Neodiprion lecontei: one gene and its partner. The protein of the gene in region 1 purifies or fractionates together with the protein of each later gene. This does not show direct contact. Links are inferred from orthologs where the notes say so. Each region holds a gene or a part of one and is shown on either strand. Other genes may lie near its edges. The genes, in order: tyrosine-protein kinase CSK and leupaxin.

Evidence for each region.
Region 2: the proteins of tyrosine-protein kinase CSK (region 1) and leupaxin purify together in Homo sapiens (affinity purification with mass spectrometry; 4 studies listed by BioGRID and IntAct, with this or other methods). This does not show direct contact. The link is inferred for Neodiprion lecontei from reciprocal best matches to the Homo sapiens genes CSK and PXN.

What each region holds. Positions count from the first base shown.
Region 1 is NC_060264.1:27,154,460-27,159,667, reverse strand, and holds the start of tyrosine-protein kinase CSK, read left to right. Parts: upstream 1-1,929; 5' UTR 1,930-2,013; coding exon of another isoform or gene 2,014-2,069; 5' UTR 2,070-2,281; intron 2,282-5,208. Other genes in the region: protein FAM169B-like, read right to left, coding at 172-352, 450-630, 2,014-2,069. UniProt on the Homo sapiens protein: Non-receptor tyrosine-protein kinase that plays an important role in the regulation of cell growth, differentiation, migration and immune response.
Region 2 is NC_060264.1:9,647,806-9,653,002, forward strand, and holds the start of leupaxin, read right to left. Parts: upstream 3,053-5,197; 5' UTR 2,845-3,052; coding exon 2,733-2,844; intron 1-2,732. UniProt on the Homo sapiens protein: Cytoskeletal protein involved in actin-membrane attachment at sites of cell adhesion to the extracellular matrix (focal adhesion). Recruits other proteins such as TRIM15 to focal adhesion.

The DNA of each region.
Region 1 (5,208 bases):
TCGAGTTTAAGCATCACGTTTTCTGCCATCAGCTCGGAACAGCATGTTTCGATACATACGAATTGTTAGTGTAAATCAATTTGTCCGAATTGGAAAATGTTAATTTCTCAATTTAATAAGATTGGATTCTTAGGATTTCGAGTTACTTATGTTCACCTAGACGTGTGTTACCTTTTTGCTTGAGCGTAAAAAATCCGATCGCCGTACCGTTTTTCCATCTAAGCATAACTAAGTCAGATTCGTCAGCATAAGCAAAGACCGATTCATATTTTTCTTCCTTTGGTGAATCACGCTCTAAGTAGATAATCTGAGACAATGCGTAGTAGACGATTTTTTCCTTTCGTGTTTTAGCCTGATGAACAAAATACTTATGCGTGAAAGATATGTAAGGTAGAAACGGTAATGTAAGCAATCATCATTCAATCGTTTATTTATTTATTTACTACAACCTCCAACCAAATATCATCGCAATCGCTGTCAATAACACCGTCGAGATTAATTACATCATCCACGGTCTTGATCGCGATAAACTTGCCACAGGTTGTGCAGTCCAGGCGCGAAATGTCTCCCTCAATTTTGTACTCTGATAAATTTAACCGCCTGCCAATCGTTTTTCTGCTTTGACGACAACTAAAAATGGTAAAATACTTTGAAATAGAACGATATTCGTAAATTAAATTTTAGCATATTTATTATTTTGTGTAAATTTGAAAATAATTGATTGTTAAATGTGTATTTGGCAAGCATTGCATTATATACCAGACTCTATATTGTATAGTTGCGAGTATATCGTGTGGATATAGTATGCACGAGAGAGGATTTAATGCGAATGCATGAAGATCACCTTAGGCATAACATTGAATCGTGTCGAAAGCGACCCTGGAGAGTATCCATTGTGATATACCTATATATATGACTGCTTCTGTCGCAAGTTTAATGTATTTATATATGTATGCAGTGTGTCGCATGTGCTGCAAACCTCGACGAGACAGTGTCAACGTCGTCCATTAATTACGCTTCCAAAACCACTGTGACTCACTGCTTCACCTTGCGCGATTATATGTACACACTGACGTACGTGGACAATGTACACGCATACCATGTGCATCATTGCATGCAATTGGCGAGACACCAGCTGATATTCCCCTCAAAAATAATAACGAGATCAGTCATTTGGCTATTGTCAGAATACAGTCTTACAGTATACAGATATAGGGACTTTAGCAATTATCAGAGCCTGAATATCCAGTTATTAGCTGGTTTGGTGAAGTTTTTGAAATTCAACATTCATCCAAAGCAAATAATCTTTGTCAATATATAATAGTTATTATCGTGTTAACTGCTTCTTCTTCTTCTTTCATTTATGAATAATGAAGAAAATATTTTCATATGGATAACGTTATCGTAACGAAACATTGGGGAAAAATGAGTACTTATTTAATTTTACAATGGTTTTGAACGAACAAGATGTCGAAACATGAGTGTGTTTTCATCTGTTACGGTTTACTGAATTTCAAATAATTCCAAACGTTACGATAACGTTACTAACTTCAGTTTGATGGTATTAAAGGTGTACATACAGCTAATGGAAACGAATTGATCACTACGAGTTTCACCCAAATATTCAATTTACAGACTTAAATCGCGAATTGAGAACAATTACGGTCGTCGTAACAACGACCCCTTTCATTAATTTGTCATGGGAAAAGACAATGATCAGAATCAACCGAATTGAAATCATTCAGTTTTTTCGGTATTTACGGATTCCCCCCACCTCGCGGCACAGCGTGAGAATTTATTGATAGAGCATGGAGCCGAGGTTCGTTGAGCGGCCGCAAGATGGCCGCAGGCTGCCTAGTCGGTGGACTCTTATTACGGGTCGTACCGTATTACTTCAGTGCCAACCAAACAGCCGAGCGGAATTAACACAAGCGACGAGCTGCCAACCAAGTGGGCGCAAAGTGTTGTCGGATATTACAGTAGTGGTTATAGCGTTCAATTCCACCTACATACCAGATACCTAGGCTCTGTGGCAAAATGGCCGACGAGTCGAGATGAGCGTGTGACATTCGCTTCTCGCAGAAGTCGAAGGTGTTCTCTATGTAGTGTTACGGTGTTTGTTACGGTGTTGTGTCGACGTCGTGGTAAAAAATTGACGTCCGAGGTGAAATACTCGTCGGGTGTCGCGCTGTGTCAAGTGGATGGGTAAAAGTGTCTGGCTGGTTTAACCCCTCGACGAATACAACCGAGTGCGGAAACCACGACTCCACTTAGTTAACAGGTAATGTACAGGAAAACAACCTTCATCCGTAAACAACACGATATAAACAGAATTACTAGAATTTTACACGAAACGAGGATAGAAGTCCGAGAGACTCTCATCCACGCACTAGAGTGTGCACGAACACCAGACCGCGTTTCCCGTCGGGAAGTGTGTGAATTGCTTTTTTATTTTTTCCCGATTGTTTTTTTTCTCTGTTTTTTGTCTTTAATCGTCACCGAGTTTACGCAGCGACCCGCGAGAAACTCTCGAAGTTGCTTATTTTTCTCCTCTTCCTGAGTGGAACCTCGTACTTTTTCGAACCTGTTTCTAACCGTTTTCCCCCCTGTTTTCCTAATTCTTGCTCGATCGACCGGCCCTTTAAGAGTCCGCTAACTTTCCTCGCATACCTCTCATCGCTCTAATTTTTTCGAGTATTTACTTGCTACCCCGATACGTAGAAACAAAACGACGTTCTCTCCTTCGCAATTCGCTGTTACTTACTACAGGCACTTTGCGCGAGAATTCGTTATGTTTTATTCAATGTTTGAACGGACGGAATATGCAGCAGCAGCAGCACCTCTCGAAATTCGCTTACCCGTCGCTAAACCTCGACGACTCGGTGTTATTAGGATCTCGCCTCCTTCACGCTTTTACGATTTTTAACAAGCGTCAATAACCAGGGTGTTCAGTCGTCGTGGAATTTCGACAGTCACGGAATTCTCCCACCATGGAATTTGATGTTTCGACCTTGAGAGACAGAGAGAGAACGAAAGCGAGAGAGAGAGAGAGAGAGGGAGGAGAGCTTGCCTGAGAGAGTAAACGAAAAGATAGAAACGCCAGAGAATTTTATATCGTGTCTTGGAATTCCTTCGCGTTTCACCACCGAGCCGTCGGAATTCGTTCTTGATTGAAGTAGAGAAGAAGTGGAAGAAGAAGAAGAATAAGAAGACATTCGAGAATGAAAATCATCAGCGGTATTTTCACTTTGCTGATACCGTACGGAATAGATACTATTTACAACGCTGCGACGACTCTCGCGCGAATTCCACATTGGGCGAGAGGAATTTTTTCTCTTTCTTCCTCTCGAAAAACCACTTTTTCCGACATCGCGTTGGCGATCGAACGAAGGAATGGAATTATCATACGATTTCACCGCGTAGTATTTACGCCTGCACGTAACGACGAGCGTTAATATCGACTCTTAATTTCTTCAGCCGGTTTAATGCTCACGGTTAGCGCAGTCGACTTCTTCCTCCATCTGCACACGACGACCTCGAAGAACGTGTGAAATATTATACGTAAAGAGACTTCCACACTTGCGAGCATAGGATGAAGATTATTTCAACACGCGAGCGTTGAAATTCTTTTTCTCTTTTTCTCTCTCCCTCTCTCCCTCTCTCGATTCTTAATTAAACGAAAGATTTTTCTAAAAAGAAGCGAAGAAATGTGTAAACCGTGCGTAAAGTAATCCCGAATGAATTAACGATTATCGTGAAATAATAATGACAATGGTAATGATAAGACTTAACGGTTCCAGAAGCCCCAGATTAAGTTGTTATAAACGTTTGATAACTCGTCTCGAGGCGATAGTTCTGAGTAACAGGTTCTTGGTAAAAAATGCGGTTGCCATCGATTCGTGTTTGTTTGTTTTTTTTTCACTTTCCTGTTGTTGTTTTCGTTGGCTTAAACGGTTGAGTTACGGTGATAAGTATTCTTGCCACCTATTTTATATCCATCTTTTGTGTATTTAAGAGAACTTGTCAACATAATTCTTTACGGTTTTTTTAAATTTGTTGAGTCGAAAAATGGCACCTTCAAAGGGTCAGTACAAGAACATCTCTTCGATCAAATATCTGCCGGTTTATTCTCGAATCGAATGTAGGTATATGTTTTTCGACTCTTCGGTAGACGGTTTTTTTTTCTTTTCTTTCTTTGCTTTTCAGCAATGCTCGTTAAAGTTTTGTTTTGTTTTGTCTTGTCTTCTTTTTCACACTACATTTTGATTTGTCGATAATATACGAACAGAGAGAAATATATGTTCGGTAGGTCAAGGCTGCTGCCTGCACTGCGTTTTACGCACGTACGCACGCGTTGTGTGTATATGTATATCTCTTCGTCGCTCCAGATGTGTGTTCCTTCTTCTTCTTCTTCTTCTTCTTCTTCTTCTTCTTCTTCTTCTTCTTCTTCTTCTTCTTCGTTCTCTTTCCTTCTTCGTTGAATCTAAATTTATCCCTCTTCGAATTCTTACACCACGGTTGTTGATGCGTAAAGCCGCAACGAGGTTGTATGGTGGTTGGCACAGAGTCGCAGAGATACGGTGAATACCTACCAGGTATAAACGGAATACTCACGCGATTTGTACAAAAATACCGACGAGGTATTTATCTGCCCGCATATCATGTGTGCTGTTTTTACCGCGTGGGTTTTAGAAGACTATGAACGAATGCGAAAGTCGCGCTGCTCCCTCTCGGTTATATCATACACGTACTTTTAATTCCGCAGGCATGTGCGCGTTAAATATATACGCTTTCATCGAGTGGATAGTAATATTGATGATAATAATGATAGTAATGAATAAATCTAGGTGTAACTGTAACACCGTTAAAACAAAAAAACGAAAAACAAAAGAACATGTATATAGAAGAGAGAATGAAAGAAAATTCGAGATAAACTAAATGAAGGACGGGAGAGGTAAATTGTAAAATAAAAAAAATGGATTTATCCCTTTTGCTAACGCGAGTTAATTTTATAAAACCTCCGTGCACGTCGTGCGAACTCCTTTAATTAGTGAAAAAATAAATCTGTTACTTATATTACGTACATACACGGTTACCGGAAACTGTTGCCGCCATGTTGTCGGATGGTTGGAGAAGGAGAGAAATAATAGGCACAGGTGGTCTCGGGCTTAATGGATATAAGGTTGTAATATAATGATGGTGAAATTG
Region 2 (5,197 bases), about 18 Mb from region 1:
AGCGAATAATTCCTGGTTATGCATATTCAAAGAATGTCAGCAGATTGCGTTATAGAAAGCAATGCGTCAAGCTGCAAGCCGCTTGAGAAATTGGCATATTAAGGATACTTTTATTGTAAGAATATATTAATCAGCTATTGCAAGATCTTTCAAATAAAATAATATGAAAAAGTTCGCATTTTCTCATTATTTTTCGTAAAATTAAGACTAAAATCCCAGTTTGTTACAATTAGAGGTGAAAATATTTCTATCTCTAATTCAGAATCTATCTAATTGTAATTTTGTTTTCTGTGAAGTAATTAATCAAGTTTAACTTGTACCGAAACCGTCGAAAGAATTGAATGATTTTTTCATTGAGTAAATAAAATGCTCAATTACTTACTGCGTAAAACGTACCTTTAACAATTACTTAGGTAATCAGAGCATTTATACTTGTATCATCATATCTGAAAATTGGTATTATTCATATATAGAATAAATTGAAGATACGCTTTTTTTAATTCTTGCAGGTTCATTTTTTTGAATCGCTACATTTGCATTGAGGTTTTATTAGCTTTCTCATAATTATCTCAAGAAAATTTACGTGCAAGCAATGTAGTAAATAACAATTGTTATGAAGTTAAGAATATGTAAATCACAAAAATATGTAATAACACATTGAACGTCGATGTAGTAAAACTTCATTTATACGTTTCTCAAGAGGTATATCATATTTTATAAAATATTAGCATGTTTGTACATGTACAAAAATATACGAAATGTACAGATACATGTACGAAATACGTATCAAATTTGTGGTATTTTGTAAAAAAAATGTTGTAATAAAGAAACGATATCATTTAAATGATTAATCAAAAACTTCATAACTCCGAAGCTAGATGTATCGGAATATTCGATTTAGTCTTGACAATTTTGTTTTACATGTATAATCTTGTGTGAAAATTTAATCAGAATTGATTACGGAACTTTTGAGAAAACGTTGATTTTCGATCTTTGGGCGGTAGACATAGAAAATATTAAAAAGCATACCTCGAACGAAAAACTGACCTGTGATTAAGAGAAAAATGGGCTAAAGGAGTGTAGCGACAAATGTCACCGTCTAAGTGCAAACCTAACGAAGGACGTAGTACGTAATATTCATTTCTGGGTTTCCCAGTGGTTGATTATTTTTTGGAATCAAAACCGGAACGGGTTTCCTTTCTAAGTAAATTTTATATGCAAATGACTAACGACGTAAGTAACAGGAAAAACAAACGATACATTGATCAATAGGCACATAAAATTTTTATAAAAAGAAACATGTTTCGGTTTGATTACAAAAAAAGAAATAGTCAACCACTTGGAAACCATTAATGAACATTACTCAAGCGAAATGCTTCTAGATAATTTGTAGCCAAAAACTGTCAAGATCAAAAACATTTGACGTTGGCATACAAGAGTGAAAAACATATAAATAAAATCTTAAATCATCATACTTGAAAGTGAAGTTTTGCCAGTGAATGGAGTAAATTCATTTCGAGCAACAATAAAGCGTTTCAAAAATACTTCTTCCATAATCTTGCGATGTGGAACGATGCAGTCGAGATATGCACAACATTCTATTCTGTTACGCATTTTGTGGCACGCGCGTGGATCGTACATATCGTGTCCGTGGATTCATACGTATAAGTATATATTCTCTCTTGAATTCCTGACTCTTAATGCAACAAAACTACTACAGAGATCCCGTGCACTGTAATCCGTTATACTCGCGAAGAACATCCTGCCTGTAAGTCTATGATTTATACTCATCCTCTGCACCGCGGTATAATGTAAATGCGCTGCAAATGATGATATACTCTGCAGGTACCAACGCTTAAGAGATTTAATTTATTTCGTGGATTAAGAAATAGTATTTATCGCAGATTAAACACGCGTGCAGTTTCCATCCTTGGTAAAGTTTGTCTATTCGGTTTATTCGCACTCTAAGTCGGAAAAAGTGACGTCACATCACGGACTAATCCACATTCAAGAACCTTGAATTTGCTACTTATTCGAGCATGTATCGATGGTTCAAGTTACCCAATAACCCTTGCGACAAACTGTACCTTTAACCTCAACACCAGAGCGTCGATGACGTCAGCCGCAGCGTCAACCGAGTCGCGACTGCCGTGATTTCTGATCGAAACGTAAGGAATCTGATATAATATTGAAGTTAGTCACGTTGTTGTAACGATTGTATGCGATAAGCAAGTCGTTATTTCGAAATTTCGAATTCCGCTTTCCCTCTGAAATTCAATAAACCGTACTAGCATATGAAAACATACTAATCTACTTATTTTGAAAACTTGCCTCCCTTCAAATCATTCCAATAGAGTTTTCAATTGACTGCACTGAATGCATCGAGTGTGAATTTCCCCGGATTTCACTTTTACTATTTGTCGAAAACTGAAGAACTGACATGTAGTACACACTGATTGTGAGTGCAGCCCGTTAAAAACCCTATAAGATCGTAAACTAGTGAATTTTTTCTCAAACCTACGTTACCAAATAGCGTTTTTCACTAGCTGTATTCGGTGTGCATTGAGTGCAATATTCCCAGCTTCGAAGGAAAAACAGAAGCGAAATCCTAGGAAAATCGCACTCAGTGGGCACTGCATTTAGCTAGTGAAAAATTCTACTACTTCAACCTTGAAAATCACAAATACGAGGGACGAATGGTCGGGGGATCTTGAGACGAATTGGATTCTCACCGAGGCTTACGAGGTTGCTCGAGGCCCCGTTGCGGGCCCTCTGAGGATCGTAGACCTCGTAAAGGTCGTTACTGTCGGTCGACCTCCTGGCGTAGGCGCACTGACTGTCCATTTTTACGAGGTGAAGAAAACGGTACGCACCAACTTATTTCGCGAGTAAATATCACCGGCAAACCACCTTTGCGTTCGAATGGAGAAAAGGGGGGAGGCTGGATTAGGGTCTAGTAACTGGGTCTTTTCGACTGTGCAATTTATATACTCCAAACGTGCGCGGTAATATATTTGTACAATATTCTGGCGCCGTTCGTAGACAGCGGAGTTGAGTGGGACCGACCGACCAACTGACTGACTGACTGTGAATTGCTTGCTCTGACGAGAAGGTCGCCGGTCGGCCATTCGCCGATTGCGTTGGGACTCTATGGGCTTCCGCGAAGCGTTCCCTCGAGGAGGTGGAGGAAAGGCTGTCGCCTTCTCCGTCGCCCGACGCGGTTCACAGGGGGAGGGGGGTGAGCGGGCGGGGGGGGGGGGAGGTGGAAACGTGTAAGCGGCGGAGGACTCGTCGCGGCATCGCATCGTCTGGAAAAATGAAGGGGGGGGGGGGGGGGGGGACTCCAGCGTGACGAAATTTTTCTGTAATCTCCGGTGCACGACGAACGCGCGCCTCCAGAGCTTCGTTATCTCGGGTCTTTCGCCCCACTTCACGCGGAATCGCGTTGTCAGTTCCAAAAACTGTTTTATACCTAGTATATTGTACGTATGTATGGGGTAGAGTTGGAACGAAGAAAGGCGGGGATTCATGTTTTGTTGAGGATATTGTGAAGATCGAGGAGACGCTTTTGAAATTCAGGATCAGAATTACCCTGTCGGTCAGTTATTTTTATAAACGATCGATGAAAAATGGAGGTCTTGGTAATAAAAGGTATAAAAGAACTAAGGTGATGAAAATTTCAGAATTCTCTTAAGTGAGTGTAAACAAAATGGCGGGGGTGAATGCTATCTACATTTTTTTCATACTTTTTCACGGTTTTGATTCTCAGTTTTAATCAATTCCGACGCCCAGATAGATGGAATAACTATAAAATAAACTTGTAAAATGCGAAAAATATCGAAGTCGCATTTTCAAAATTTATTGCTCTCATCGATTATGTCGCTCTGGTTCTCTCTCTTATTTGAACGGAAATTCATGAACTACCAAGTCTGTAAATTTTATTACTGATAATGCACGCGAAAAATAATATACCTAATAATTTTATTTCATCCGCAAGTATCCGCGATTCATCATTGTATACGACTTCATTGTGACTATTTGCTGTACATTTGATACGTTCTGCAGAAAAGATTGATGCGTAGCTGTCAAGAGTACGACGTTCCAACGTAGCTTATTGCATACTTTCGGAACGTGAATGAGCTTTAAGCTTTGGCTAAAAGCCCAGAGGTTAATTTTGTTTAATTTTTTTTGTAACGTTTAGTTTGGTTTTTGCGCGCGTTCAAATCTATTTTATGACTCGTGAATCATTGCGTGAATGGTTTCTAAACCAACGCAGCAGCAATATTGATTACATAGATTGATAAACCGAACGAGATAATAAATTTTCAACCTCTCTGCATACAAATATAATGCATTATATAATATTACATGTCACTTTAAATAGAGTTCACGTACATCTCAGATTTCCTACCAATTAACCAATTGTCACTTGACGACGTGAAATCCCATAACGTATAATCAACGTATAACGTTAATTGTGCTATTTTTACTTACTAATATAACGCTCCCAGCGTTTATGCCGCTCCAGAGTGGCCGAACGGGCAGGCGTAATTGGGGACATCGGTCTCACAGAGGTACTCGTCATTTTCACAATCAGTCAATTTATTACAAAAAAATACACTTCACCGTATACCACTTACAGCTCTGTGTCTATAAAAAAGAGATTTCCGGACGTTGAAAAATCTAACCCAGTGATTCTTATAAGGTAATTATTACCCAAAGTTATTCAGTCCATTTATCCAAGCCCGATGCTTGATGGCGACTCAATAACAATTTCGACCACATAAGATTTACTGATAACTGAACTATGTAACAAGATTTAATTTCGATTCCAGAATGGAGGCACAATTCAAGCCTGAATAGAAAATCAAAATAAAAAAAATGAATGTTCTAATCACTTAAGAGAATTGTGGGTACCATCATTTCGAGAGTCAACGACTATCCAAGATGTATATTTTTTGAACCCTTAAAATCCCTAATTGAGAAACTTGTAAGACCTCTGTTGTCTGTTGTCCGCAAAATCGATACTGTATATGTCGCGTGATAATCAGAATATCAGATCTAAGCGTGACGTTTCAAAAACTTTTTATTTTCATACACTCCTGCGAACTTAGGCGCGGGCTCAAATCGATCAACTCAAAGGTGACAAATTGGTCACTCGAGTTGCGAGATAAATTCCACGCAGGGTCAAAGATAA